4 linked regions of the Stegostoma tigrinum genome follow. The protein of the gene in region 3 purifies or fractionates together with the protein of the main gene of each other region. This does not show direct contact. Links are inferred from orthologs where the notes say so. Each region holds a gene or a part of one and is shown on either strand. Other genes may lie near its edges.

What was found.
Region 1: the proteins of chromatin complexes subunit BAP18-like (region 3) and bptf purify together in Homo sapiens (affinity purification with mass spectrometry; 5 studies listed by BioGRID and IntAct, with this or other methods). This does not show direct contact. The link is inferred for Stegostoma tigrinum from reciprocal best matches to the Homo sapiens genes BACC1 and BPTF.
Region 2: the proteins of chromatin complexes subunit BAP18-like (region 3) and hmgxb4a purify together in Homo sapiens (affinity purification with mass spectrometry; 4 studies listed by BioGRID and IntAct, with this or other methods). This does not show direct contact. The link is inferred for Stegostoma tigrinum from reciprocal best matches to the Homo sapiens genes BACC1 and HMGXB4.
Region 4: the proteins of chromatin complexes subunit BAP18-like (region 3) and SWI/SNF-related matrix-associated actin-dependent regulator of chromatin subfamily A member 5 purify together in Homo sapiens (affinity purification with mass spectrometry; 5 studies listed by BioGRID and IntAct, with this or other methods). This does not show direct contact. The link is inferred for Stegostoma tigrinum from reciprocal best matches to the Homo sapiens genes BACC1 and SMARCA5.

The regions. Positions count from the first base shown.
Region 1 is NC_081375.1:10,334,952-10,343,302, forward strand, and holds the start of bptf (nucleosome-remodeling factor subunit BPTF), read left to right. Parts: upstream 1-5,122; coding exon 5,123-5,609; intron 5,610-8,351. UniProt on the Homo sapiens protein: Regulatory subunit of the ATP-dependent NURF-1 and NURF-5 ISWI chromatin remodeling complexes, which form ordered nucleosome arrays on chromatin and facilitate access to DNA during DNA-templated processes such as DNA replication, transcription, and repair.
Region 2 is NC_081391.1:4,173,153-4,180,859, forward strand, and holds the start of hmgxb4a (HMG domain-containing protein 4a), read left to right. Parts: upstream 1-4,384; 5' UTR 4,385-4,455; intron 4,456-4,763; exon of another isoform or gene 4,764-5,231; intron 5,232-7,707. UniProt on the Homo sapiens protein: Negatively regulates Wnt/beta-catenin signaling during development.
Region 3 is NC_081398.1:7,353,655-7,361,457, reverse strand, and holds the start of chromatin complexes subunit BAP18-like, read left to right. Parts: upstream 1-4,571; 5' UTR 4,572-5,921; coding exon 5,922-5,942; intron 5,943-7,803. Other genes in the region: rnaseka (ribonuclease kappa-A), read left to right, coding at 1-135. UniProt on the Homo sapiens protein: Component of chromatin complexes such as the MLL1/MLL and NURF complexes.
Region 4 is NC_081354.1:14,750,882-14,758,302, reverse strand, and holds the start of SWI/SNF-related matrix-associated actin-dependent regulator of chromatin subfamily A member 5, read right to left. Parts: upstream 3,373-7,421; 5' UTR 3,179-3,372; coding exon 3,041-3,178; intron 1-3,040. UniProt on the Homo sapiens protein: ATPase that possesses intrinsic ATP-dependent nucleosome-remodeling activity.

The sequences.
Region 1 (8,351 bases), on a different chromosome or scaffold from region 3:
TTTCACTGTACCTCAATACTCATGACAGTAATAAATCAAATCAAACCAAATCAAAATTAGTGAGGGTGCCTGGCTTGTGGCCAGCCAAAATTGAGAACGCTGATTCAGGAAGCCCACAGACACATCAAGAGAATGAATTGGGGATGTGCAGGAATGAGGTTGAGGCATCATAAGAAGTACACAAGCCTCCAAACATCTACCCAGACCTTCAAGCATTACCTGACATGCACATGGCAAAGTCTGCAACTCACACATTGGATTTAGAGGTATCTTAGGACCCAATGAGTGGAAGCAGGTAATCTATGATTCTGAGGGGTTGTCCTTCTACATGAAGGATGTTGATGGAGTGATAGAGTGCAGAAAAAAATTACAAGCATATGTAACTGGAAGGTTGGGGTTATAGTGAGAGACTGAATGGGTCAGGCATTTTCCCTGGAGTGTTGGAAGCAGAGGGTTGACCTTATGAGGGGCATTGAAAGGGTGAATATCCATGGTCTTTGTAATTGGGTGGGGGTATCCAAAACTAGAGGGCACAGGTTTAAGGTGAGAAGGGAAACATTTTCATGCAGAGGGTGATGCGTATATGGAATGAGTTGGTAGAGGAAGTAATGGAAGTGGATACAATTACAACATTTAAAAGACATCTGGATGGGTATATGGATAGGAAGAGTTTAGTGGGATATGGACCAAATGCTGGCAAATTGGATTACATCAGATTGGGTTTGCACAGATGAGTTGCCTGAACAGTCATTTTCTTGCTTTGTGACTCCATGACTCTATTTTTGTCTGAGAGAAGGATAGAGCTAGGGAGAAATGGAAGATTACAACATTGATTTCCAATGTCAGGTGGGACAAGAATGCCAATTCCTAAATGAGTTGGGTTAGGGAATGGCGGGGGGAAGGGGAGGTGGTGTGTACACCAAAGACTTAATTTACTGATTGGCGGTCCTGTTTATACAAATCTGTTATAAGAATATGGGAAACAGGAGCAGGAGTTGGCCATATGGCCTTTCAAGTCTGCTCTGTCAATGAATTGTTGAACTTCTACCTGACTTCATTTCCTTTCTTATCCGCTACATATTTACCCCAATTGTGATACATAATAGTTTTGCTAAAACAAAATTATTGTGGTAACCAAGTGCCCAATTTTAATGATGAAACAAATGGATAAAGACATCATAATTCGTATCATATCATATCATGATCCATATCTGAAGAAGGGTGCCAACCCGAAACGTCAAACTTTCCTGCTCCTCTGATGCTGCTTGGCCTGCTGTGTTCATCCAGCTTCACACTGTGTTATCTCAGATTCTCCAGCATCAGCAGTTCCTACTATCTCTGTAATGATTCATATCATAGTTGAAGACAATATATTGCGAAATGCAGGTCTCCTTAATTTATAGGGGTAAAGTAAATTGCATACTATACTTTGTATTTTTTATTAAATCCACAGATCATACGTTGTCATGTTGGGTTTATAAAGTAGGAGACTGGGCTATCTCAGAGTCTATCCATTTGCCTTCTTAATTACAGAAAGGTGATTTTTCTTCTTTGTTAATTCTATTGCATGCTTACTTACGTGGGGGTGTGACAAGAGTTGGTAGCAACGAACGGTGATAGTTGATCGTTAGGCACTAATAGGTCCAGTAAACTTCCAGTTCAGGGGTCGTAGGAACTGCCGATGCTGGAGAATCTGAGACAACAATGTGTAGAGCTGGATGTAGAGCTGCTGTGTTCATCCAGCTCTACACCTTATTGTCTCCAACTTCCAGTTTAATTCGTTACTGCCTTATTACGTTGACGCCTATGGTCCTTGTTTGGGAGAGTTCCAAAGATAGCGGTGACTCCAAAATACCTCTTTATACGTGTGAGTCTAAACAGAGTATCAGCGAACTATATACTCACAGACAGATGAGGCTGAACTTGACATTCATATTTGCAGGCAGCTGTGAGACTTTGATCAGGATCTTAACGTCTTTACTTCAAAAAAGTAAGATTTTGGGTTGAAGCAAAAATATAAAATGCTGGAAATATTCAGCAATTGAGCCTGTAAGCGAGAAGAGACTAGCAGAATTAATATTTAATGTTGATAACCTTTTGTCCACTCGTAGCTCAGCTAGCTCCTTGAAGGCTCCGCGGATTTCTAGCTGGGGAGGGAAGGGATCAGAAGGAAGCCTGTTCTCTAAAGGGTTGCAAGATAAGGACTGAATTGTGCCGAGCGATGAAAACAAAAGAACAGGGGAGAACTCTGCGCTGAAGCGCTTTGGCTTTGCGGAATTTCTTGCTTTGTTTGTTTCACTGTAAGGGTCTCTTTCATTGGTTGTCATTGGAAGACTGGGTGTTATGAGAGTGCTAATTGGCCATGGTTTGCTGCCGCCAAGCTCCAATTGCCCCGTGTCCCTCTCCCCCAAATCTATTGACTGTCACCCACTTGGTGGGGGGTTAAACCTGGGCTCCGTCAGGGTGCATTTCACTTCGGGCTCAAATTTTGCAACCGTTCGGCGGAAATGCTGCGCTTTCCTGCCCTGTCCTATCCGGCTGGAGATTAAAAAGAGCAACCAATCGTGAAAAGCAAACATTCTCTCGCGTTTGTTGCGGAAAGCACAAGTTTCCGTTCGTTTTGCACGGAGGGATTTGATGCAAAGTTTTTCCTTTCACCTCACAATCGTTGTTCCATAATCCAGCCCCGCGCGTTATTTGCAAATACAAAATCTCAAACATTCAGAAAAAATTTACAACGTTATTGCATTGCGCGAAAAACAATTTTCTTTTGCATTTTACTCGTTCATACGTAATATAAGCAACAGCGTTGTCATGATCATAGAGTCTACAGCACAGAACAAGGCTATTCGACACATCTTGTCTGTTTTCGTCAAAAAGAAACACCTAACTATTCTAATAGATTTTTTCAGCTCATGCCTTGCCATCGCAGATGCACATCTAAAGCTTTCTTAAATGTTAAGAGTTTCTGCCTCTGCCACACTGATGGGCATTGAGCTCTACATTCCCTCAGTTCTCTGTGTGAAAAAGATTTTCCTCACATCTCTAACTCTTCGACTCCTTAGCTCAGATCTATGCCCCTTGTTCATTGATCCCTTCATTGAGGGGAGAGGTCTCTTCCTGAATACTCTTATGTCCCTCATAATGTTATAATTCTCAGTCAGGTCTCCTCATTCTCCTTGTTTATGTTTTATTGAATCTTGTTAGGTATATTGATATACATATATATGACTGTATTTTGGGTATTTACAAGGCTTTGTTAAATACACAACTTTACCATTTTTATTTTGCATTTAAATCGTTTGTGTTAAATGGTATAAGACTACATTGTTTTTACTTGCATTTTGCAAGGCTTTGTTAAACATTAGATTTCACAAATTTTTGCACATATATATAAATTTGCAGGTATCCATTTGTAAAACTTCTTTGTAAGTTCATTTCACTAGTTAAATATAAAACATTGCATTAATAAAAAGCAGAAAATGCTGAATATATTCAGCAGGTTTGGCAGCATCTGTGGAGAGTAAATCTGAGTTAATATTCAAGTTGAATCTAACTACCAGAATCCACAGTATTTTGCTTTTATAATAGGTTTTCTTCCTTCACTTCTCACAAATCTGTTAGATATATAGCACATAAGCACTGCAGTATTTTTCTTTTGCTTAAAAGTCCCTTACCGATATAAAACATTATTGTTCTATTTTATGAGCTTTTATGAAATTTTTATGAAATTGCTGGAAAAGCTCAGCAGGCCTGGCAGCATCTGTGGAGAGAAATCAAAATGCAAGTTTTCAGTCGACTCGTCTGAGTTTTTCCAGCAATTCCAGCAACAGGTCAGACGAGTCGACTGAAAACTTGAATTTTGATTTCTCTCTGCAGATGCTGCCAGGCCTGCTGAGCTTTTCCAGCAAATTCCATTTTAGTTTCTGATTTACAGCATCTTAAGTTTTTTTCCCTTTTTTACTTAGTTTATATATATTTTTCTTTCAACTTTTACAAATTGATGTTAGATCAATTGTTGGATTTGTTTTTATGAGTTTTTGCTTATGTATGTTTTCTTTTACATTCTATAAGTTTGTTATATATACGAACAGAAGTAGGTATCTAAATGTTCCACCACTCATTTACAGGTTGTGGTTGATCATTTAACTCCACAACCTTTTACTCCATGGTACAGTTTGGAGTCAAAATCCACAAAAGACCATAGCCATATCTATGCAATGGGGAGAATTAGCTTGGGGGTAACCACCAGAAAGTGCAGAATGAGAAACCAAGTCTCCATGATCTCCATCCAGTGTTGGGATTGAACCTCTACTGGTTTATTCTGCACCACATTTTAATGTACAAAATGTTGCATTTCTATCTTGTTTTACGTCTTGCTGGTAGATTTTTCTTTCATAATTTACAACTGTGTAAGATTTGCAATGTATAAAACATTGCAGTTTTTCTTCTGTTGCATTTTCCCACTGTTTGCTTATATTTAGTATCGCATTCAACAAATTTCTGTTAGATACATCACAACAGAAGCATTGCACTTTTTTGTGTGATGAGCCGTTGTGTTTTTTTTGCTTATAAATATATATAGGCTTTGGCATTTTACAAATTGATGTTCGCAGTAAAAAAAATTGCTGGCTGTGTTTTGATAGCTTGGGTGTGGGATTGTGACAGGGCCGGAGTTCCGGGGTTGCTGCTCATGCCAGGTCCCGGGAGGCGGCGCGCGCGAGGTGCTGGTGGCGGTGAAAGAAGGGGGGGGGATCACGTGACCAGTTGACTGGTTGACAAAAATGGCGGCGATCCCCGAATACAACATGGATGCCGGAAGGTTGGAGTGAAGCAGGGGGCGACGGACGAGAAGGAGGAGGAGGGGGAACAGAGAGAGGGGGTAAAAAAGGGAAAACAAAATAACAATAAACACATCGAGGCTCGGCGCCTCCCGCCCGGCATCTGCGGAAAAGGGAGGCGGGAAAGAGAGTCTCTGAAAATAATAATAATAATAAATCCAAATCTTTCTTCGCCCCTTTGGGGTGGGAGGGTTGAGGTGGTTTTGAGGGGAAGGTGAAGGAGGCAAAGGGGGGGTTAAAATAAAGTGAGGCGGAGCTGGAGGGGGTGGGGGGGGGTCACCATGAGAGGAAGGCGAGGTAGGCCGCCCAAGACGCTCGATGCTTCGCCGGCGGGAGGTGGCGGGGGACCGGCCGGCAGCCTGAGGTACCGGGCTACCGGGGTCGGCAGAGGCAGAGGGGCAGACCGGAGGCTGAATCACGCCGAAGCTGGCGGTAGAGGGAGCCGGACCTCGAGAGGCGGCAAGGCGGGGAACCGGGGCAGGGCCAAGGCCGCGGCTCAGCAGCAACGGCAGGGCAGCCGCTCCCGCAGGCTGACCGTCAACAAAGTCATCTACGACGACCACGAGAGTGAGGAGGAAGATGAGAGTCTGGTGTCCGAGGAAGAAGACGACGACGACGAGGACGAGCGGGAGAACGACGACGAGGACGAGCAAGATTCGGATTATCACCAGGCCACCGAGGAGGAGGAAGAGGACGACGAGGACGACGATGCTAGTTATTGCACGGAGAGCAGCTTCAGGAGTCACAGCACTTATAGCAGTACTCCAGGTAATGTTTCCAACATCACCAGAATCCCGTCCCTTTTTATGTTGAAGAATGTATTGTTCGATGACACCTATATGACATGTTTGGTTGGACTGTTTGGAGATCCCACTTTGTCAGATAATTACATACGCAATATTCATCAAACTCTTTCTGCATCCGTGCATGCAACAGTTGCCATGAAATGAAATTTGCGAAATGCGACTTAAGTGTTAGGAAACGTAATCTGACCTAAACTGTCATTATGATCCAGAGTTGCATTAGTTTAATCGTGCGGAGTAAGTAGTTTGTTGCAGTGATGCTGAATGGTTGGGATGTGTCTAAACTGTACACAAACTGTTGCTCATCCTGCTAATGAGTTGACTGTGGGCTTGGGGAAGAACCTCTGTGACAACTCGGCAGTCCAATTGCTTTTGACATCAGGGAAACAGTTTTAAATCTGGTGCTATTTTTCAATCTTAAAATAATTCTGTTTTATTTGGTCAGTTATTCTAATATGAGAAAAACAAGAAAAGAATGAAAATGTAAAACTGGGAATTTGAAACAAAATAATTGGAAACTCCAACAATAACTCAGTCTTAGTACTAAATTATTTTGTTTTACCTGGCGAAAAACAGAAAAGTTTCAAGTCAAGATCCAATCATCAGGACAGTTTAATAGTTCTTATGAAATAAGAAAACACAGGCATTCTCTGGTTTATATTAGATTTCATAATTTTTAACAACTGTGATTTTAAAATTGTTGGAGGATTTAAAAAGTCCTGTGCTTTGGAAAATAATAGAGTATACTAAATATTTATCACTCTCTTATCAGAATTAGATGTTCACATTGTCTGTAAATTTGAAGATGAGTTTATTTTCAAATATTAAACATTATACTTATTAACAATCCTGCCAAGCTTTAATTTCCTTGCCATTTGGAAAGGTTAAACTGTCTTTGATTCTTAATCTTGTATTGTCAGTAATGTGAAAGATGAGCAAGGATGTAGGCTCTCCCTGAGAATCAAATTGACACTAGTTGTCATTTTAGCTTTTAAACTTATGACATGCCTCCATCACATTGAGAGATAGGAATTGGACCTTGATCTTCTGACCCAACCATAATTTTAGTTGATGTAGCTATGTACCACAATTCCTCATGAAAATAGTGGTTGATTAATTTTGATGTGCCCAATACCTTTAGTAGAACGCTGCATATTTAGATTATGAATATTCCTCCTGTTCTGCATGCCAGTACCTCTTTTGGGTTTTAGTTCTTGCCAGTGGTGGTCATAGCGGTTTCAATTCTTTTGACCTCCTTCCATGCTTTGTGTGCTTGCACGTGATGTACAATATTCTGGTTGTATTTAATCCCAGGCTAACTTTCCTCTCCTTCAGCAGGGCAGTTTGAAAAATTGAGCACTCTACCTCTGGAGTATTTCCTGACTGTTTATGCTGAAACCCACGTCCCTGTTGTTATCACCCCAAGAATATTTGTTTCATGTTCCCAACCCTGGCATATCTGCTTCACAGACAGTAGCCTATTAAGAACTCAACCTAGGACCTCTCCAGTAGTATTCTACATATCCGTTGCCAGTTTCCTGGAACGTGTAATTTCGGCATCCACCACATTAAAACAGTTAAGTACATTTGAGGTTAAATCTCATCTACATGGTAAGCAACCCTCTCCAGTTAAGTCTCCATTGTGGCCCATGGATCTTCAATATTTCATTACTTTGTCCATGAGCTTTCTGTCACACCTCTACCAGCCATTACTTTAATCACAATGGTCCAGATCTTTGGAACTCATTTGGAAATATTGTTACACTTTTACCTTCCTTCAAAAACCGATGTTATTTTCTCCTTCCAACCTACTCTGTCTATGTCTTTACCTCTACCACCCGTATCACAATGCACAGACTTCTTGATTCTGTGGCATCATTTGTAAAATACATAATTTTTCTGAGTGGAATTTGAAATGAAAATACAGCCATTAGGGTAATGATAATTTGCTTTATAACAAGCAAAAAGGTTGCTCTAAATTTCTTTAAAGTGCCATGCACCAAATCACTCCAAATCAAAATTTTGTTTATGTGTATTTGTGGTAAGTACTGATCAATTAATGTTGTTCCTCTTATTTTGTATCTGTTTATAGATGTTTTGACAAATATTTTGGTTCATGAAGTAGGTCGAGACTATCCCTCTAATAATGATATTTGCAAGTGAAATGTCAAACACTTAGTGAATTAAATGCTCAATGTTGCATTCTTCAGTGGACTTAAAACAGAAATGCAGTCTGAATGGGCAACCAGTTTATTAACGCATTCTTTTCTGAAAAGTCATGGAAACAGGAGTTGGCCATTCAGTTAGATTATTTCTGATCTGTGATTTGGTTCTGCGTCTTTATCATGCTATATCTGAACCACATGCTCGTAAGCTAACTGCTCATCATTTGACCTGACAATGGTGTATGCTCATAATGTCTTATAAAAATTGGATTTTAGTACAGTTGAAAGTGGAAAATATATAGTGCAGCTCAGCAGGAGGCCATTTGGCCTAATCACTCTGCTTCTTTTGGAGATTAATCTGGTTGGGTCCCCTGTTTCACTCTGTCTAATTTTCTGTCTTCTTCCCCACCCAAAACACAGTCTTTCACTATTTCTGTGCAATTTTTTTGTCTCCATGAAATCTTCGTCAATTACTGTTAGTAGGCCATTGTTTATTCTGTATCCACTACCCAGTGAGGTATCTCCAGTCTGTTCATGTAACT
Region 2 (7,707 bases), on a different chromosome or scaffold from region 3:
AGAAAAACAGTTGGATAGACAAAGGAGGGTGGGTAGTTGTTAATGGGGGCTGTTATTGACTAACAACAGGGAGTGTGTAATGGCAGGCTATGTGGTAACAAGGCCTGATGTGTGGGGTGGGGGGCGGGTGGCTGGGACATGGGAGAGTTTAGGCCCTAAAATTATTGAACTCAATATTGAGTCCGGAGGACTGTAGGGTCTCCAAGCGGAAAATGAGGTATTGTTCTTCCAGCTTGTGTTGGGCTTCACTGGAGCACTGTAGCAAGCCAGAGCCAGAGATGTTGGTCAGGGAGCAGGGTGATACATTACATTGAAGTTGCAGGCAACAGGTAGTTCAGGGTCTCTTTTGCAAACACAACATCGATATTCTGTGAAGCGGTTGCCAAGTCTATGCTTCGTTTCCCCAATGTAGAGACCACATTGTAATCAGTGAATGCAGCAGACTAGATTCTTGGAAGTGCAGGTGAAGTGTTGTTTGTTCTTCTTCAATTTCACTGCCCCTCTCATACCCCACTTCCTATAATGACTCTATCCCATTCTCTCAGTTCCTCTGTTTCCATCAGATATGTTCAGATGAGGCCCACTTCAACAAGGGAGCCTCCAAAATGTCCAGCTTCTTGTCGTGCCGAAATTCGTCTGTGGAGAGAAAGCAAGCTAGCATTTCAAGTCTAGATGACTCTAATGAAGAAAAACCAAAAGATCTGCGGATGCTGTAAATCAGGAACAAATACAAATTAGCTGGAAAAGCTCAGCAGGTCTGGCAGTATCTGTGAAGGAGAAAACAGAGTTAACATTTTGGGTCCGGGGAAACATTACCTGAAACTGAACACAAAATATTACCTCTGTTTTCTCCTTCACAGGTACTGCCAGACCTGCTGAGCTTTTCCAGCAACTTTGTTTTTGACACTAATGAAGAATCTGATGAAGAGTCATCTGAACTCAAAAACATTAGCTTGCTCTGTCTCCATGGATGCTGCCTGACCTGCTGTGATTTTCAGCTTTTTTTGTTTTCAGTAACCCATTTTCTCACTCTTAGCTCTTATTATCTCTTATTCAGTTTGCTATCTGTCTTGGCCTGATATCCATTATCTTCTTGTTTACCGGCCCCTTTCATATCTCTATCTCTGGGGTCTGTCTCCACCTATCTTTTCATCACCCCTTTGTCCCCAGTTTGGCTTCAGCATAAATGCCAGTTTTCCTAGCTGCCAGAGTCACCAGACTCAAAATATTAACTTTTCTTTCTTCCCAAAGATGTTGCCAGATCTGCTGAGTTTCTCCAGCAATTTCTGTTTCTGTCTTTTAAAAACCGGCAAATCCCTCTGTGCTGTAATTATCTTCAGACTTTCTCCATTAAAATTATGTCCAACTGCTCTATTCTTCCTGCCAAACTACATAATCTCACATTTTCCCACATTATATTCAGTCTGCCAAGTTTTTGCCCATTCATTCAACCTGTCTATCTCCCCTGTAAACTTTTTGCGTTATTGTTCATAGTTTCTCTCCCATCTATTTTTGTCCCATTTGCAATCTGGGTTCTCCAAGTAATTCAGCTATGGCCCAACTAACATCTTATGCAGCTCCATCATAACCTCCCAGTAATTGTATTCAATGCCTTGACTAATAAACACAAAGAGATATTGCTGGAAAGCTCAGCAGGTCTGGCTGTGTTTGTGGAGAGAAATCAAAGTTAACATTTTAGATCCAGTGACCCTTCCTAGGAAATGAGATGACAAAGTGTGGAGCTGGATGAACACAGCAGGCCAAGCAGCATCTTAGGAGCACAAAAGCTGACGTTTTGGGCCTAAACCCTTCATCAGAAAAGGGGGAGGGGGAGAGGGTTCTGAAATAAATAGGGAGAGAGGGGGAGGTGGATTGAAGATGGATAGAGGAGAAGATAGGTGGAGAGGAGACAGACAAGTTAAAGGGGCGGGGATGGAGCCAGTAGAGGTGAGTGTAGGTGGGGAGGTATGGTGAGGATAGGTCAGTCCGGGGAGGACGGACAGATCAAGAGGGCGGGATGAGGTTAGGAGGCAGGAAATGGAGCTGCGGCTTGAGGTGGGAGGAGGGGATAGGTGGGAGGAAAACAGGTTAGGCAGGCTGGGACAAGCTAGGCTGGTTTTGGGATGCAGTGAAGGGAGGGGAGATTTTGAAGCTTGTGAAATCCACATGATACCATTGGGCTGCAGGGTTCCCAAGCGGAATATGAATTGCTGTTCCTGCAACCTTCAGGTGGCATTGTTGTGGCACTGCAGGAGGCCCAGGATAGACATGTCGTCTAAGGAATGGGAGGGGGAGTTGAAATGGTTCGCAACTGGGAGGTGCAGTTGTTTATTGCGAACCGAGCGGAGGTGTTCTGCAAAGCAGTCCCCAAGCCTCCGCTTGGTTCCCCCGATGTAGAGGTAGCCACACCGGGTACAGTGGATGCAGCATGTGGATGTGCAGGTGAACATCTGCTTGATGTGGAAAGTCATCTTTGGGCCTGAGATGGGGGTGAGGGAGGAGGTGTGGGGGCACACTTTCTCCTCTATCCATCTTGGATCCACCTCCCACATCTCCCTATTTATTTCAGAACCCTCTCCCTATCCGCCTTTTCTGATGAAGGGTCTAGGCCTGAAACGTTAGCTTTTGTGCTCCTAAGATGCTGCTTGGCGTGCTGTGTTCATCCAGCTCCACACTTTGTTTTCTCAGATTGTCCAGCAGCTGCAGTTCCCATTACCTCTGATACAATTTTAACCCTTCCTATGAACTTCGGGAAGGGTTCTGAAGAAGGGTCACTTGAGCCGAAATGCCAACTCTGATTTCTCTCCACAGATACTGCCAGACCTGTGTTTGTATTTCTGATTTACAGCATCAGCAGTTTTTACCTCTACTAATAAAGATCATAAGACCATATCACACAGTAGCAGAAATTAGGCCACTCGGCCCACCAAGTCTGCTCCGCCATTTAATTATGGCGGATAGGTTCCTCAGGAATTCCATAATAAAGGCAGGCATTCCTTATGCATAACCACAGCTCCAAGATTTACAATCTTGGAAGACCAACCTTTAACTAATTTCTATTTACTTTATTCTGAATGTCATTTTGAATTGTGGGTCAGCTGGCAATATTGGCAGAGTACAAACATAAAATTGATATCAACACAACTAATAGAAAAGGTGTTCGTGCCCTTAGATAAGCCACACCCCAATTACCTGCAGGGGCCCCAGTGGCCTAATGGATAAGGCACTGGCCTCCTAAGCCAGGGATTGTGGGTTCGAGTCCCATCTGGGGTGTCCAATTTTTAAAGCCTACTTGCTCTGCAGGGATCTTGAATGTTTCTGACGTTCACTTCTCATCTACTCTGTCAAACTCCCTGTTCCTACGCTGAGATCGTAGCAAAGGATGGTTCAATAAAATCTTGAACAACGCAATTGAAGGAGTTTGGGGATATACAGAAAATTGGCTGAGTTTTTCACACAGACAGCACAGCCACGATGGGCTGAATGCCCGCCAAGGTTCAATTGCTTTGTTCTCATTGCAGTTTTGCGCAATATTCTCCACTTACTCAGAAACAAATGATTACTGGAGCAGAAAGATTAACTTTAATTTCTCTTCCCAGGCGCTGCCAGACCTGCTGACCTGTTGCAGCAATGTTTTCTTTCTGCTTCTGATTTACAGCATCTGCAGCTCCTTCGGTTTTCACCTCCACTTTCATTCTCCCACTTACTGCAAATACCTTCACACTGCTGCGCAAAATAGCAACGAGTAGCCACATCTTTCTCCTGTCTGCTCGGAGGCGAGATCAATTCATCAAGCAGCCAGCAATTTAGCATTTAAAATGTGCATGAGATGGAAGGGGAAAAAACCCAATCAATTACAGTATGAAAAAAAGAACACCACCTCGAGCGAAGTATTTAAATGCTTCAATTTCCATTTAAAACACGTAGCCCCAGTGGCCTAATGGATAAGGCACTGGCCTCCTAAGCCAGGGATTGTGGGTTCGAGTCCCATCTGGGGTGGGTTGAATTTACTTTACTTACGCTAAAGTAACTTTTGAATAATTGTTCCTGACTACGTTTCTTCAGAATTTTGATGTACGTATTTTACTTTCAAACCTTTTTGTTGATATTAATTCGGAACTTTTTCTCATTTCATTTTTGAATTTAAAACGTTTAATGAAATGTATCCACTTTTACGACTACATTCATAGAAAATTTTATGATTTTTCTACTGATTTTATTGGAATTTATTTTCTACAATTATTACTGTCAGATTTATTGTTAGGCATCTTTTTCCAGTGTCCTATGTTGAAACCGTGTAACTTTTACCTTATCCTTCTGCCTCCTGTAGGAAACATAATGTAATTACAGTTATTGTTGGCGTTTTGTTCGAGTTAGAAACATACACATACATTAACATTGATTATTTCTTTAATTTTATCACGTGTTATCTGATGAGGAATTACTCGCCCAAAGGTGAACTATGCATATTTGTGAAAACAAAATGTCATTTGCATTAGAGATAGCAGGAACTGCAGATGCCGGAGAATCTGAGATAACAAGGTGTAGAGCTGGATGAACACAGCAGGCCAAGCAGCATCAGAGGAGCAGGAAGGTTGACGTTTCGGTCCCAGACCCTTCTTCAGGGGAAAAAAAAATGTTTATTTGCATTGTTGAGGGTAACAAACTAATAGTTGAGAACGTGTCATTAGTGAAATATGAGCATCTGGACTGTTCAGTTTCCAGCTACAGCCTGGGATCCTCTATGTCACTTTAACTTAGAGTCTTGTCCAGACGGTATCCATTTTTACAACCCATGTTAGAAGAAGACTAGCGAGTACAAGGCAGTGACTTGCGTTGTTTACGTGATGAACAGTCCAAGGCGAAAGCAATTCGTTACTTGAGTTTTCTTTTCATACTCGTGTCGTGATAATGCGGTAGTAGTGAGACCGCAAGTGGTGACATTAGGATGGGAAGCTAAACTGTTGGAAAAGGCGGACCTAGAACTTCTGTAGAAAATGTATGATTTATGCGGTCTCGTGGCTTTTCCAAATTGCTTCCAGAATGATTAAGTTGTAGAAAGTTGGACAAGGACTTGGAGGGTACTGTGAATAGTACTCAGCCCGCGGCGGGGGAATGGATCGATGTGCTCTGTGCTCGTTTATTTCCGCCTGCTCGTGGCCTCTCCGCTTCAGTCTGGCCAAGATGGCGGTACTTGGCGAGGGATGGCGGCCCCAGTTGGTGTCTTTATGGTGAGAGTTTCAGTTTGACAAAGCGTGGGTTTGCGGGCGTCTCCCGAACCGTTAAAACAGTTAAACTCCGAAAAACCGGTTCAGATCCCCTGGGGAGCGGCGGGAGGAACGGTATCCGGTAGGCGGCCAACCTTATCGGACAAAGCAGCGGTGTTTCCTGGATGCCGCGGCCGAGGAGAGCGCGGTCGGTGGGCGGCTGCTGATGGAAGGTTTCGGGCGGATGAGCGTCGGAGGGTGGGGGAAGATGGGCGCAAAGATTGAGAAAGGGCGGGAAGGCAGAGCTGTCTAGGAAGAAGTGACAACCTCTGGGCAAATCTAAAGTCAAATATAGCAGCATGAAATTTAACTTTTATAATTTTAGTATTTGTTGTGTAACCAGTAAGTTATTTTAAATTGTGTTCATTTTTTAAAAAAAAGTATTCTTTTCCGAATTACATTCTTCTTTGAAATCCGAAATTAATCCATGGATGAGGAAGTTTTGCCTCTCAATGATAGTCTGTTTTGATTATTATGTAGATATATATTGGGGAAACTTGGTGACAATTGTGATGCTACAGAGGGTATTGCCTTAATTAGACGATAGAATAAATCACACAATTGTGGATGCTGGAAGTCTGAAACAAAAACAGAAATTTCTGGTGAGACTCAGCAGATCTGACAGCACATATGGAAGGAAAGAGAGTTGACTTTCGAGTTCAGTGATTCAGTTTTTTGTTCAGACCTGTGGAGTTTCTCTGGTATTTTTTATTTTGTGTAAGAGGGTATTATTTAAGAGTTTTCAGGACAGAATCAGGTCATTTGGATAAACTGGCCTGAAATATGTGTGTCTGTATTAACCTCTGCCCATTCCTCTTCACCACATGATGTCCTCCTTTTCTCCAGCATGTTTATAATGCATCATTTCCCTCCAGTCGTTTTAGCCAAGTCCCACATTCTCCTGTTTTTCAATGACTTGTACGCAGTACTCCAGAAGTGGCCTTATTAATATCCGGTACAACCTCAACATGATGTCTTAGCTGCTATACTCCTAGACAAAGCGATGAAGACAAGCGATTAAGACAATGCTAAACCACCCTGTCAACTTGTGTTGCAACTTGCAAAGAACTGTGTACCTGAATGCATGGGTCTCTATGTTCAACAACAGTACCCAGGGCCCTACCGTTAACTGTATAAGTCCTGCCTTTGGTTGTTTCAACAAAATGCACTGCCTTGTATTCATCCAAATTAAACTCCATCTGCCAAACCTCAGCCGGTTGGTGCAATTGATCAAGATTCCTTTGTATTCTTAGATAACCATCAGTGTTGACTATATCACCAATTTTGGTGTCATCTGCTTACTTACTAACCATCCCTCCTAAAATTCTCGTCCAAATTGTTTCTATAAATGACAACCAAAAGTGGAGCAGCTCCAGTCCCTGTGGAGCACCGCTGGTCACCGGCCTCCAGTCCGAAAAACACCACCACCACCCTGTGTCTCCTTCTGTCGAGCCAGTTTGTCTCCAGTTGGCATACTCTCCCTGAATTCCATGTGATTTAGCTTTACTTATTAATCTGTCATGTGGAACCTTGTCAAAGGCTTTACTGTCGTCCATGTAGCCAATGTGTACGAATCCTTTTGGTTACATCCACAAAAACTCAGATTTGTGGGGCGTTGTTTCCCAAGTGCAGAGCCATTTTTTAAGACTCCTGTTCTGAACAAGACTGTATAGAACTGGAAAAGTTAACTTTGTTTCTCTCTCCACCGAAGCTGCCAGACCTGCTGAATTTCTTAAGTGCTTTCCATTTCTGTGCCTCTTACCACTGTTCATCTAACTCAAAAAGGTTCCTTTTGTGATAGGAAAATAAGGAACAAGACTCGACCATTCTGCCCCTGGGCCCTATTCTGCCCTTCACTTGTTGTGGCTGATCTATTCCCTCAGGACACTTTCCTGCACTAGCCTCATATTTCTGGATGCTCATAGCATCCATAAATCTCTACCTTGAATGTACTCGACTGAGGATTCACAGCTGTCTCTGATTTTAAAAAAAAATTCCAGAGTTTTTAAATCCCTTCAAGTGAGCAAATTCCTTTTCAGTCACTGCAAAATGGTCAACAATTTATTCTGTGAGCATACAGTTTGTTCCCAATCTTCCCACCATTTCCCTGCCGAACCCTTTGAGAATGTTACATGCTTTGGTGATCACCTTTCATTCATTGAAACTCTGGGAAATGCAGACGCAGTCTGCTCGGTCACACCTCAGGACAATCCCCTCATCCCAAGAATCAGACAGTAGGGAGCCTGCCAAATGTCTAGATTTTATGATGTTCCCTAAATATATTGGCAAGGACTTGCAAAAATCTAATGCATTGACAAATCAAGGCCCTTTTGTAGGCGGGGTGAAAATGCCAGCGGCAAAAAATTAGGTGAAAATAAAAGTTACAATGAATTTATACCAGATCAGTATAATATGATGGAAATCTAGGACTGCGGAACCC
Region 3 (7,803 bases):
CCACAGAGAATCTATCGAATCTACGAGCAAGTCAGCTACAACTGCTTTATTGCAGCTGGAATCTACATTGTCCTGGGAGGGTTCTCCTTCTGTCAGATTCGCCTTAACAAACGCAAGGAGTATCTGGTGCGCTAAGACATCTCATTATTTATTTAAAGTGCTGCCACCCTCTAACCCAAGCAACTGCTGTTACCTTTTTTAAATATTCAAAGATCTCTCTCTCTCTCCCTCTCTCATCAATTGTTGAAACAAAAATAAAATTGTACTTGAAATTTAAATGATGTGGTGGTGGGTGGCATTCAGATGTGTCTGAATAAATGTTACAAGGTGTTTGCTTGAAAACTTTCTTGTGGGAACCTCTTGTTGAAAGACTTTTTTCTTTTCACCTCCCTTGCCCCGTTCTCATTGTCCCTCTGGAATCCTTCCAAGTTGTGTATTCATCATTACATGGTCACACATAAGCCGCATCAGATTTGGTGGTACTTTGAAGCCTGACAACGTCAAAGCCATTTTGTTGCCGGAGTGGGTGAGGTTGGGATGGAAGAATAGGCTGTGGTGTTGAAACTGTGAACGTCTAGTTTGTCTTCCTAGATACTCTACTGTGAAGGAATGTATCCCATTTGGTGGCAGGACTGTTGTGATGCTTTTATTTTTGGAGTTAGTGGTTAGAAGGAAGGGGAGGACTGTCTCGCAGGACTTTTGGGGTGGTCAGCACATTAATTTGTGTAAAAGCAAAATAGTGCAGATGCTGGTAGTCTGAAGTTTTTAAAAAAAACTAATTCTGGAGAAACTCAGCAGGCCTGGCAGCATCCACGGGAGGCGTAAACAGTTAACACTCCAAGTCTTGTATGACTCCTCTTCGTTTCCAAAGAAGAATAGTGTTGAACTCAACATTAACTGTTTTTTGTCTCCCCAGATGCTTACCAGACTTGCTGAGATTCTCCATACTTTGTGTCAGATCCCTCTGGCATTCTATAGGTGTTGTACTCTTGTTGCTATGGTAATAGGCCTGCTTGGAGTTGGACTAAAGCTTCGAGGCCTAACCATTGCTGAATAAGGGCAGGGGAATTTCCCTGGCCATCTTTCACCCCAGTGTTTGTTTTCAGGACCAAAACTAATCTTGTGAAGGAAGCACAGGCAAAGCAAGGATCTGGACTACGGTTTCTGTTACCTGATGAAAATTGGAATCTCTTTAAATAATTTTCTAATTTTGCAGAAATAGAGGGGAGGAGAAACATTGACGCTTGTATTGCACATCAGTCAGTGTCAGTCACTGACCCATCCGGATGTGTTTAGAGAGTGATTTCAGAAGATTCCCATTTCCTTTCCAATTCCATTATTTCACAACCAATTTTTCATAGCAAGAGAAGTCTACAAATATTAATGTAGGACCTTGAGTCACGAGGCCCTGTCTGTTCATGAGAAACTTTTATTTTTGTCATTTTTTTTGAAGTTATAATTTGAGTAGTTTGTGTTGATGTAACTGTGGAAAACAAATGTAAATGATCCATTATTTGAAATTTTAGAATAATAAAATGGATGAAATTCACGGTATTTGAGCTTTTTTGTCATTTGAGTCTGTAAAGAGACAGCCTGATTGTGCTGTATGACAACAATGATTCTAAGCTGTAACGTAACTATGTGGCTGGCAGTTAATTGTCAATCGTCATTAACACACCCTCAGAGGCAATGTAATGAAAGACAAAATCTCAAAAGCAACTTTGATTTAAATTTTAATGTCATTGTGGGATTATGATTACCACTGAGCCCCTGCATGTCCTGTACATGTCCTTACCTTTGTACTAGAAGGCCTTAGTTCAAATCCAACCTGCTGCAAAGATGTTAGGATCATGGAGCTGTTATGTTGCAGGAGGACATTCAGCCCCTTGTGCCTGCATGCCTTGTTAAATGAGCATTTGTTATCCCTCTTTATTCATTCACAGGATGAGGATGTCACTGGCTAGGCCAGCATTTACTGCCTATCTCAACTGCCTTCTGGGCAATTAAAGAGTCAACCACGTTGCTATGGGTCTGGACTCATGTAGGCTAGGCCAGGCCAGATCTAGTAAGGATGGCAATATCCTTCCCTAAAGGATATTAGTGAACCAGATGGGTTTTTCCTGACAACTTGCAATGGATTCAGTCAAAATTAGACTCTTAATTTCAGATATTTACTGAATTCAAATTCCACCATGGCACGATTCAAACCCAGGTCTTCAGAACATTACCTGGGTCTCTGGATTAACAGTCTAGAGATAATACCACTAGGCCATTGGCACTAGGTAGTAATGCTCACGAAAGGCAATGTCCTGCTTTTCCTCCCATATTCTCGCACACTTTTTTTTTCTAATCTAATGTCCTCGAGTGCCTCAATTCAACCTCCCTCCACCTCCTGGCAGTGCATTCCATAACCTAAATATTTCATCTTTCCTCACTGTACCATTGCTGTTTTAGTGAATTACATTATACTTTCTCATTCTTGTTAATTTATACAAATAGGAATAGTTTTTCTCTAGCAACTCAATTCAGCCTGTTCATCATTATGAAGCCTCTATCAAATCTCTTATCAGCAGAAGGTCACTCCAAACAGAACAATGTCAACTTCAATATATCCTCCTGACTGATGTTCCTCATCCTTGGAACCATTTGAGGAGGCAATGACCTAGTATCACTGGACTGTTAATCCAGAGACACGGGTAATATCTGGGCACCAAGGTTTGAATCCTGACACAGCAGATGGTGGAGTTTGAATTCCAATTTTAAAAAAACAAAAATCTAGTCTAATGACCATGAATCCACTGCCAACTGTTGGGAAAAATCCATCTGGTTTGCTGTTGCCCTTCAGGGAAAGAAACTACCATCCTTTACTGGTCTGGCCTAATGTAACTCCAGAACGATAGCAGTAGTTGAGCCTTAACTGCCCTCGGGTAATTTATCTAGGCTGGCATTTATTGTCCATCCCTGTGATGTCTTCACCCTGTGAATGAATTTAACAAACTGTTCTTGTAAGCCACATTTGCATTCTCTCCAATGCATTCACGTCTGTACGATAATGTGATGCCCAGAACAGTATACTATACTTGAGCTGAAGTCTGGCAAATGTCTTGCATAAGTTCAAAACCACCCCATTGCTCTATGCCCCTACTAATAAAGCAGAAGACACTGTATCCTGACTGCTCTATTTCTGCCTGATATTCACTTTCAATTATCTGGGCACGCATACCTCTGCTCAGGTCCCTCAACTCCTGCAAACCCTTTAGAACTGTACCATCTATTTTATATTGCCTTTCAATGTTCATCCAGCCCATGTGATGCACAAGTAATGGAAAATATATATGATGTACACCAGCAGTCCTTAGCCACAGAACTCTAATCCTCTCTTCCTAGCTCTTCTGACAGGCAGAAGATACAGAAGCTTGAGCACAAGCACCAACAGGTTCAAGAACAGTTTTTTTCCCTGCTGTTATTAGACTCTGACTTCAAATAATCAGAGATAGCAAGAACTGCAGATTCTGGAGTCAGAGTCAATACAGTGTGTTGGTGGAGGAACACAGCAGGTCAGGCAGCATCAGAGAAGCAGGAAAGTTGACATTTCACGTTGGGACCCTTCATCAGAGTCTGATGTTTCTGACCTGTATTCATTTAGCTCCACACTATAGTAACTTCAAATAATGTTGCTTGTGTCAATGTTAATCTTGCTTTGCATGCCTCCTGTGAGGTGCAACCTTGTAAGCCTTATTCTGACTAAGCGGAATCTGTATGTCCTTGTTTGCTATGATTTTCCCATTCTCCTGGGAAAACAACAATTTTCACTGTACTTAGCTCCATGTGACAACAATAAATTAAATCAAATCAACATCCAAGGCCTACCATGATCACAGAGTGCTGCCTCTCTGAGGTGCGATGTGTAGCCAGGGATGATAGGCTGGCAGTCAGGTTTCGGATGACCTTCCCCCATTGCCTGGTTACCTGTCCACACCCAGGCACATATCTAACATGATAAGATGGCGGGTACATGACGTTGTTAATGAAACAAAGTGTTATTTTCTGATGGCAAATTAAGCGGAAAATGGCACTGAAAGAAATGTCAGCACTTTATACATATACTACAAGACAACTGGACAACTTGTACATACCGGGTTGCCAGATCTGATTGGACATCTTCCCGCCTCCAACGATTCCCGTCCACGCTCTACTCCAATTGGTTAATAGAGGCGTCGATCATACATGGGCCCCGCCCTCCCCGTTTTCTCTCCATTGGTCAATCCAGTTCCAGTGACGTTGGGAAATAGGATCGCTGAGCAAAGGGGCGGGTCGAGACTTTCCAATGGATTGACCTGCAGACCAACCAATCATTCAGGGTAAAGGGGGGGTGTCGGTTGACAGGCAACGGCAGGAACCAATCGGCGGGCGAATGGGAAGTGCGATGACGGGGCCCAAAGGTGCATGATGACCTCAACATTGATGGACGTCGGGTCAAACCAATGGAAAACAGTATCGGGAAGGCGACTGTCCAATGGAAACGGAGTATCTCTGAAAAGGCGGGATTGAGTGGATGGAGGTGGGTGTTGGGGAAAGAGGGTGAGAACCGATTGACATTTGCCAAGGCCAATCGATGGGCAATTGGACAAAGCCTTCAATGGAAATGAAGCTGTTGAATGCGGGTTTAAGAAGGGGGGCATAAACAGAAATTGGTCGAAAAACCCTGCAGGTGTCGCAGCTTCTGCACAGAGAAAGAAGAGTTAACGTTTCGAATTCAGTGAGGTTTCTTCAGAAGTGAGAGATGCCATTTGATTCACGTAGCCGCCCATTCGAGGCTTGACCGCCAAAGACAGTCTGACGATCGAGGGCGGGACTTTGCGTGTTGATTGCTATCGGCTCTTACCAATCGGAAAGGTGGATAGGAATCATCTCTACAATGAATAAGCAGGATTGTTGATTGACAAAATGTAGACCAACCAAGATGGCGCACCGGATGATGCCGTCCAATAAAGCCGCGCGGATTACGGAGGGTGGGACCAGAGGTGCTGATTGACATCCATCTTGTCCAACCACCCTGCGTGTCCCGGAAGGCACCCGTCCAATGGAGCAGGGGGTGGAGAGTGATAGACATCTTTCTTGGCCAATCGCTGCGGAGACAATGTGTTGCCGTTGGAGACGCGGGCCGTCGGCGGATGTGGAAAAGGCCGCGGCAGTAGTGAGGGTTTGGCCTGTGCTGTGAGGGTGGTAGAGGGACAGGGTGGGTAAACCTGGGGAAAAGTGGATCCCGGCCCTGAGCTTCCAGGGAAAAGCTGTCAATCAAACCCTTGGAGGGAGTTTTTGGGGGGAGGGGAGAGATCCTTCCCACTTGCTTCTTGCATTGCAACTTCAATAACAACTGAGGGGGAAAGAGATGAAAAGCATCTAAAAAAAATGCTGGCAAACTGATCATAAATTCTTGTTGCACGTGCACTGCATTGATACTATCTGTTTTGATATCAGTAACAAACTCCCTCTCATCACACAAAGAGACCAAAAAAAGAAAATTAAGCATTTTATCTTAGTTTTGGGGTGACCCATCTTCAAGTTTGCACAAAGTAAGGGGGCAATTGTGGTGCAATCTTGTTGCATAACATCAGATCACACCAGTATTGGGTTGTTAAAGTGGAGCTGGAGGGTTGTTCGTTGGTTGAACAGTTGGTTGTGGGATTGGGGAGTGGTAAAGAAGATCATTTCAGGTCCCCCCTCACTTGAAATTGGGGAAGTACCTTGGATCAGGCGTTGGCTATCCCTGTGTCACACGTCAGGCTGTTTGGCATTGATCGGTTCGAATTTGGGCCCATCTTGGGTTCTGGAAATCTGCTAAGAGAGTTTACCCTTCCTTCTGCAAAGTCCCTGGGCTTAGGAATTGTTTCTCTCCTGACTGTTGGAACACCAGCAGGATGACCTCAGCGTCAACCAAGGTAAGCGTAGTCTCTCTTATTGTTTATTATAAAAGATTTTGTGGTTTGGATGTGGGTACAATTGGCTGAGCTGACCGATAGCGCCTATATCGAACTACCCTGCAGAAGATGGAGGTGACTCCCCATGCTCCTTGAGCTGCTACACTGCCATATCTTGTAGATAGGTTCACTGTTCTGTTAGGGAGGAAGTTCTAGGATTTTGATCCAGTAACACTGAAGGAACAGCAATTCATTTCCAAATCAGGATGGTGAATGGCTTAGAGGGAGAACTTTCACGTGGTGCTGTTCCTTTGAATCTGCTGCCATTGTCCTTTTTAGATGGCAGTGGTTGTGGGTTTAGAAGGAGTCTTCAAGTGTCTTGGTGAATTACTCAGAGATGACTCGTGGGTTGTCCACACAGCTGCTGCTGAGCACCATTTGTGGAGGGAGTGAATGATGAAGTGATGATTGGTGTGCCAATCAAAGCACAAGAAGCTTTTGATTGTCTTGAGTGTTGATCTAGTTGTAGTCAGCTAGGCAAGTGGGGAGTATTTCATCCCACTCTTGACTTGTGTCTTGTTGGAAGTGAAAAGGCTCTGGGGAGTCAGGGAGTAAGTTCTTGAATTTCTTACTTTAACAGCGACAATATTTATGGTCCAGTTAAATTGCTTTGGCCAGTGGTAGTCCCCAGGTTATTACTTGGTAAGCAAATTGTAGCCTTGGATTGCCATCCTATTGCAGTGACATGCAGTTCAGTGAATTGAGAAAAATGCCCGTTAAGGTGTACTTGACATGTGTCTGAGTTGCTTCGCATGTAGAGTAGACACAAAGTGGACCTGTCTCCTACCATCACATCTTCCCGCCTCCTCTTGCCCCATTCCCCTCCCTCCCACCAAGTCTCTTCCTCAAAAGGCGATGGAAGTAGTGACTAGATGGATGCAGATAAATTCTTAATAAGCAAGAGGGTGAAATGTTTTGCGTTAGCTAGGACCATGGAATAATTGGATAAGCCATAGCTGACCAGGCGCGATGGGTTGATTGGCCGATACCTCCCAATTTGTACATTCATCCAAAAGCAAGATGAAGATTTACTATTCTGAGGAAGGGTCACCGGACCTGAAATGTTAACTCTGACTTTTTTTTCACAGACCTGCTGAGCTTTTCCAACAACCTTGTTTTTGTTGTTGAAGATTTACTGATACTGACTACGTAGAAGGATTAGAGCCTAGGAATAGGAATGCTTTGCTGTAGTTTTACAGGGCCATGGTGAGGCCACACCTTGAGTATTGTGTGCAGTTTTTGCCTCCTAGTCTGAGGAAGGACATTCTTGTTATTGAGAGAGTCCAGTGAAGGTGCACCAGACGGATTCCCGGGATGGCAGGAGTGACCTATGAAGAAAGATTTGGATTGATAGGACTTGTACTCACTGGAATTTAGAAGAATGAGGCAAAAATCCCACAGAAACATATGAAATCCTGATTGGACTGGACAGGCTAGATGTGGGAAGGATGTTCCTGATGTTGGGGGAAGTCCAGAACTAGGATTTCCAGCCTAAGAATAAAGGATAAACCATTCAGGACTGAGATGAGGAAGAATTTCTTAACTTCGATTTGTGAACCTCTGGAATTCTTTACCACAGAAAGCTGTTGAGGCCAGTTCATTAGATATCTTGAAGAATGAGCTGAACATAGCTCTTGTGGCTAAAGGGATCAAGTGTATGGAGAGAAAGCAGGAATGGGATACTGAAATGGCATGATCAGCCATGATCGTATTGATTGTCGGTGCCAGCTCGAAGGGCTGAATGGCCTACTCCTGCACCTATTTTCTATGTTTCCAAATGGGACAGAAAGACAGGGCTCACCGGCCCGGTGCAGTGGACTCT
Region 4 (7,421 bases), on a different chromosome or scaffold from region 3:
ATGTCTTTTAAATGTTGTAACTGTACCCACATCCACCACTTTTTCTGGCAGTTCATTCCACACACAGACCACTGTGTAAGAAAGTTGCCCCTCCTGACATTTTTTAAGTCTTTCTCCTCTCACCTTAAAAATACACTCCTAGTTTTGAACCTAGGAAAAAAATTCTTGCCATTCAGCTCATCTATACCCCTCATGATTTTATAAACCTCCATTAAAGGTCACCCCTCAACCTCCTGCACATCAGTGAAAAGTTCTAGCATTTCTAGTCTAGTTTTATATCTCAAACCCTCCATTCTCAACAAATCCTAATGAGTCTTATCTGAATCATCTCTAGTTTAATAATACCCTTCCATTCCATCTCACTTGAAAGGTAACAAACTTGACAATGTAGAGTTAGGCCCAATTTCAGTTCTCAACACGTTCATGTGCTAATTGAATCACTTTCTGACTGAGAACCAAAGACTACAGAGTTAGGGCTCACAAGAAGTAGGAAGTTATAACAGTTCATAAGGGGTCAAAGTATCTTTCAGACTAACTGCTGTAGCTAGTTAGGTCCAAAACAAGTTACGTAAGTCATACATGGAAGCACACAAAAGGTAAATGTAGTCCAACTAGCTCATGCATGCATGTATGCATACATACTTGTTAGGCCATGCACCAGCCTCTCCGAGCTTAAATAGCTCCAGCTATTTCCTCAGAGGGTAGCTTCTTGAGGTATATCTTTGTGGGTTTTTCTTTTACATCATTTCCAGGGCCTACATAGTTCTTTACAAAATAGAAACCAGAATTGTGCAACAGGTTGAGAGATAGAGTATAAATACAAAATTGGTGATTAAACTATGTTAACATAAAACATACAAAGCACTTCACAGGAACATTGCCGTATAATACTGAGAATAAGCCACAGATAGAAGTATTAGGATCAATGTAATCTACAGGTCAGTTTAGAGGACAGAAAATTTTAGAAAGAGTATTTCAGAAGCTCACGTTTAGATAGCTAAACATAATTAAAATGAGAGATGTGCAAGAAGCCAGAAATGGAACAGCAGAGTGACCTGGTAGGATTGCAGGCAATTACAGAAAAAGTACTGGGCATTCATAAACAAAGATGAAGATATTAAAAATCAAGGTATTGCATGATTAGGGTACAGCATAATCAGCAAACATATTGAGTGCCAATACAGATCGAATTTTAAATACGCTCAAGTTTATGAAGTTTGGAAAATGGGAGGGTGGCCATAAAGATGGGACAGTTATGATGTCAATAAAGGTTTCAGCTACTAAAGTGGAAGTGGAATATTTTAGTAACAGTGTGAATACACAGTCAGAGGTCAAAAAGTTTTAAATTCCCTGGCTCACTCTCAGAAAGCAACCATGAGGGGGAAGCATCTGGTGGCTAGGGAACAGAATTCACAGTGGGGCCTAGAAACAATTGCCTTCAGTATTTCAAATCTTGAGATGATGAGCCACCTGTGCTCATCCAGTCTATGTCAGGTAAGCCACCAAGAAATTAACCCAACTGCTTAGGTTACAATTTTAAAATGGTCTTCCTAATGTGCATTTATATTTACAACGATGGACTCGAGATCCCTTTGTTGCAATTTTTTTCTAGCATCGTGCAAACTTTTAAATTTTCCTTCAAAGTGTAACTCCTTGTATTTGAGGTTCATGTACCAATAAATTAATTTTCCAGTTTATTAAAGGAGTCACGTCTTTTGATCAAAATTATTCTCTCCATTTCTAACTAAAACAAAAAACAAATTGCCTGATCTCCATCAAACCACTGTCACACCATCTTGAGATGGAAACTGGCATAATGAACATTCTGCCTTGGAAACAATACCTTGTAGGATGATTCTCTTCCATCAAAGTAAATATATTGATTGGCTACAAATAGCTTAGCCAGTAGTTCACCCAAAACTGTTAAACAATTTACCTTTTACACAGCTAACTAGCACGGAGGAACGACAGTAAAGTGACATTTGGGGTTCAGACCAAAACCAGCCCTGCTGAATAAGTGGGTCATATTCCAAATTGGAATCAGGAAATATTGAATGAACAGACAGTTCTACAAAACCAAGAGCAGCAATAACAGAAGAATGACAACGGGGCACCAACAAAACTACTCACTGCTGACCAGCAATCAGACCCAGAATAAAATGCATTAAAACTGCAATTAGCCCCTATCAGATATGTTGGCCCCAAAACGTTAATGAGTACTTTCTGAAGTTAGCAGATGGAGGTGACTGGCCGAGACATTGACGTCTCTTTAAAGAGAGGTGGAGATTTGGGGATGGGCTAATGCTGGATAGGGCAAACGAGGGACATAAGGGATTACGGTGACAGAGGAACGTGAAAGGATTCTGTGTCAGGGACAAAGGGAGAGTGTGAAAGAGACAGAGAGAAAAATGTGGGTTAAACAAGGTATACGAAGGGGGGTGTTAGGGAGGGAGAGAGTGTAAAGGGGTTAAACAGGGCATGAGGGGGCGTTTTGGAGGGTAGAAGCTGTGGGGAGTGGGAGGTAGAGGTGATTGGAGTGTGTGTGTTTGAGAAAAAGTGAAGCGAGCGAACGAAGCAGGGCCATGGAGATTCATTGATCCTTTCCTCCTTCCCCACCCTCCGTTTATTTCTTCGCGGTGGCTTCCAGAGGCCCTCAGGGCTCCTCTGGACCTTCCGCGGGTTGGCGTAGCGGATCCCGGGTGGAGGATTCCTCCTGAGGATAGGGGGCGAGGATCAGACAAAGAAGGGGGAAAGGGGAAGCGGACTGCGCGTGCGCCGTCAGCGACGAACCAAGTCTATTCTCCCCCTCCCCCAACACACACACCGAGTGCCGGCGACCGTATTCTTCACCGGACCCCATCCTCCCTCCCACCACCCGTTATCAGGGCAGACAGGACCTGGGCGGTAAACCGGGGATGGAAGGAACGGGGTTGTTTACATGACGGGGGACCCGATAAAGATGAACACGAGGCGGGTAACCGGCCGCTCTCGCGGCGGGCAGGACGGGGTTGTCGACGGATCCGATCTCTCTCCCTCTCACCTGGTCCGTGCCCGGAGTCTGCATCTGGGGTTCGGCCGCCATCGCCCCCAGCTTCGAGCTCGCCTCCTCCACCTGCCCGTCGGCCGGGTTAGGGTTCAGGTTCAAGTTGGCGCTCGGCCTCTCCTCGGCTTCCGACATGTTCCGTTCTCCTTTCCCGCACCTCCCCACGGTTGAATTGAAAATGCCTCACCGGAGCCGACCTCTCACACCGTTTCCCTCCAACACCACTCTGCCGCCGGGTCGGCTCCTCCGGCTCCCCCACCCCCTCAGCCGGCTCCGATCTTCCGCTCAACCGCCTACTCGTCCACCTCCGCCGCTGCCCGGCTCTCGCGATAACGTCCTCGCCAAATCCCGCCAGACGTAGCTCCGCCCCCTCTCCCCCAGGGACCGCACTCGCGAGAACCTAGATAATAAAATGTGAGGCTGGATGAACACAGCAGGCCAAGCAGCATCTCAGGAGCACAAAAGCTGACGTTTCGGGCCTAGACCCTTCATCAGAGACTCTGATGAAGGGTCTAGGCCCGAAACGTCAGCTTTTGTGCTCCTGAGATGCTGCTTGGCCTGCTGTGTTCATCCAGCCTCACATTTTATTATCTTGGAATCTCCAGCATCTGCAGTTCCCATTATCTCGCGAGAACCTACCCGGATTGTTACTTTTGGTTTGAACTGTTGCTAAGTAACAGTCTGGTGGCGGGAATAGAGAGTGCAGGGTGGAAGGTTGCAGAGAGGCAGGAGAGTGTAGGGTGGAAGGTTGCAGGGCGGTGAGAAGCAAGAGGGTGCAGGTGGCTGGGCATTGTGGATGGTCTAGGGTAGTGAAGGGTCAGGGAGCTGGGACAGTTTGAGGCATCTTTAGGCGGCAGGGAGGAGGTAGCCCAGGCAGCATGGAATGTGTAAAGGAGTGAAGTAGGAGGGATTGAAGAGTGTCCAGGGAACGGGATAGAGGTGGCCAGGCAGTGTGGAGGGTGTAGGATAGTGAAGGGGCAGGTTGGAAGGTAGTAGGAGGGAATAAAAGGAGAATGGAATAGATGACGAAAAACTACAGTCTAAGTCCATAGTTTTCTGGTTTCTTTGAGCCTCTGTTCTGAAATTGAGTTCTTGTGTTTGCAGTTTTCCGATCTCTGGGACCGTTCCAGAATCTGTGGAATTTTGGAAGTTTATAACCAATCCAACACTTACTCTGTAGTTACATGTTTTAAGAAGCTAAGATGCCGGTCAATGGGTCCTAGAGACTTATCAACCATTCGTCATTTTAGTTTCTCTATTGTTTAATCACTCTTGATCTATCATATGATTATTCTTGCCCAAGTGATCTTTTACAATGAAGTTATTAATTAATCCTACCTTATATATTAGTGTCTCAAATAGCATATTTCCTGGTTAGTTCCTGAAAGTATTGTTGGAAGTGTCCATTATCTAGCACCACTAATCCTGTTATTTCGGACGTGGTTCTAGTCCTGCTGCATCAAACATAAATTTAATTATTTCCTGCTTCCTTAAATGATGAGTCATGCACTTATTCTATATTAAACTTAAAATCAAGCAAGCAACACAAAATTATTGATTTTTATAAACAAACTTATTCAGGTTGTTACAACACTGGTTAACAGACTTAGTTTGCAATTGAAAATATAAAAATTCACCTCTGAAATAATGAAACATGGAAGGAAAAGTGCAAAAACATGCTGGGTAAGGGAAAAAGAATCATTGCACGCTGTAGAGATGCATTTTGGGGAAACAAAGGTGCTTTGGGCATTAGGTTTTAGTTGTTGATGGCTACAAAAAAAGATAAGGTGTGGAACGTTGAACTGACATTCTGGTATCCAGAGGACAGTCAAGAAAGTCCAGTGATTGTATCTGGTTTCTTTGCCAATGTAGCTTGCTCAGAAAAACACTGTTGAAGATTCTTCCAATCACTGTCAGGTGCACAATCAGTGTTAAGACTGGATCGGGGCTCCACATTCCAGAATGAACCTACAATAAAATGTCACTTCAGAAACAGGAGAGATAGTCTGGGAAGTTCATTTCCTTCCCCAGGCTGGCCGTCAACAAAAAATTCTATATAATCTCCAAGGCAGACTCTGCAATACGACAGTTGTAAACACAGGCAGAGCGTTTGCAGTAAACAAGCAGTTTTCACAAGCACCACATATTTCACTTGGGAACCCTGCAGCCCAATGGTCTCAATGTAGACTTCACAAGCTTTAAAATCTCCCCACACTGGACTTTATCACAAAATCAGTCTAGCTCGTCCCCGCCTCCTTGACCTATCCGTCTTTCCTCCCACCTATCCGCTCCTCCTACCTCACTGATCAACCCCTGCCCCCACCTCCTACCTATTATCCTCATCCCTGCCTCCTTGACCTGTCTGTCTTCTTTCCACTTATCTGCTCCTTTATCCACCTTCTATCAGCACCTCGCCTTTCTCGCTATTTATTCCAGTCCCCTTCCCCTCCCTCATTTTTGAAGAAGGGTCCAGACCCAAAACGTCAGCTTTCCTGCTCCTCTGATGCTGCCTGACTTGCTGTGTTCATCCAACTCTACACCTTGTTATCTCAGTTTTCACAAGATGTGGCTTTCAAGAGACATTTATTGAAAAAAAATACAACTTTCTGTCCAACTGTTCTCTCTCTTTGTGCTTCATCCCCACCTATTGTTTACTCCCAACCTTCTCCCCCAACCCTTTCTCCTGCATATAAACATCCATTTTCCTGGCTACCATCCGTTCTGAGGAAGGGTCACTGGACTCGAAATGTTAACTCGGATTTCTCCTCACAGATGCTGCCAGACATACTGAGCTTTTCCTACAATTTCTATTTTTGTTACAACTTTCATTAACCACTTTTAAGAATCCAAGTATTCATAAAGCCTTCAAAAATAATTAGATTTAAAGCATCCATAACATCACCTGTCTTGAAAAGTGATTTGAAATTACACAGTCTAAACAAGAATAAAATATACAAAAACTTAAGACAAATTTACACGCATTCTCAGTCACTTTTCCCTGCATCTTGTGCGGTTATCTCGATACTTAATTATTTGATAATTTGAATAAAGTTACATTCTTGACAGAACATCAGCAATGACGTTATTTCTTGCTGCAGTGTCAATGACTCTTAAGTGATATGCCTGTAATAGCAAACTCCACAGAAATAGCCTGGCATTTTGTTTCTTGAAAATTTTCCCACTTCCCTGCAGCCATGATGGACTTTTACCTCAAAATGCTCAAAGGGGAGTAGTAATCCCTTTTTTTTCCCTACTGTAGAGTGTCTCTGTTGATGTGGATTTAAGTTGTTGGAAACATATCCCACTGACTTCTCTAAACCCAATTCATCTTGTAATATGACCTTACCTACCCTAAGTCACTGGTATCAATTGCAACATTGGATTTAAATTTAGATTTAGATTTTATTGTCACGTACTCAAGTACGGCATTCAAGAGCGCAGTGACAATCACACAATGTTGCCACGCAAGACACCATCTTAGGTAAGATTTACCTTGGTATAAAATCTTTGTTACAGAAATAGAGAAATAAAGAAATAGAATAGTGGGATGAATCCTCCATATTACACTGTATTTATGCAATCCAGGAATAACTCAAAGAAGCCTGAAAATTATCTCATTAACATCTTAGAGCATCCCGAGCCATGATGAAATGGGGCAATAACTGGCTCCAATCCTGAAGAGCAAAACCAGGTGATGCTCGTATTTCTGTCTTCAAAAGATGAATAATTTGGGATGGCATGGTGGCTCACAGTTCCCGGGTTCAATTCCAGCCTTGGGCGACAGTCTGCGGTTTCCTTTGCGTGCTCTGGTTTTTCTCCTGCAATCCAAAGTCGTGCACATTAGGCAGATTGGTCATGCGAAATTGCTCAAAGTGTCCAGGGTTGTGTAGGTTAGGTGGATCAGTCATGTAAAGTATGGCATTAGCAGGATTGGGTGGGATGTTCTTCGGAGGGTCAGTGTTGACTCGATGGACAGAATAGCCTGCTTCCACACTGCAGGGATTCTATTTAAAGAATGGTTCAGCTGTCCATATAGTATAGTCAAAAAGTTTGGTAAAGTACATTGGTTCAGCTGTGTCATATCTATATGTTGAAGCAATACCATCTCCATAAATGTAATCATTTGGATTGGGTGATAAAGGTGGTAGTTAATAGATGAAAAGAAAATACCATAGGCAATTTAGTGAAGAGAATGAAAAAAAAACCTTGAATTGAGTGCTAAAGCAGTTATATGAATAAAGCTTTCTGAAGTTTTTGTAAAATTAGGAGCAGTTAACACTGGCTCATTGATCAAAATTGCTTTCAGCCTCAACAGCTGCTTGGCACCTAACTAACAAGACTACGTTGGCTCTGTTTTGCATTAAATCCATCAATGGAA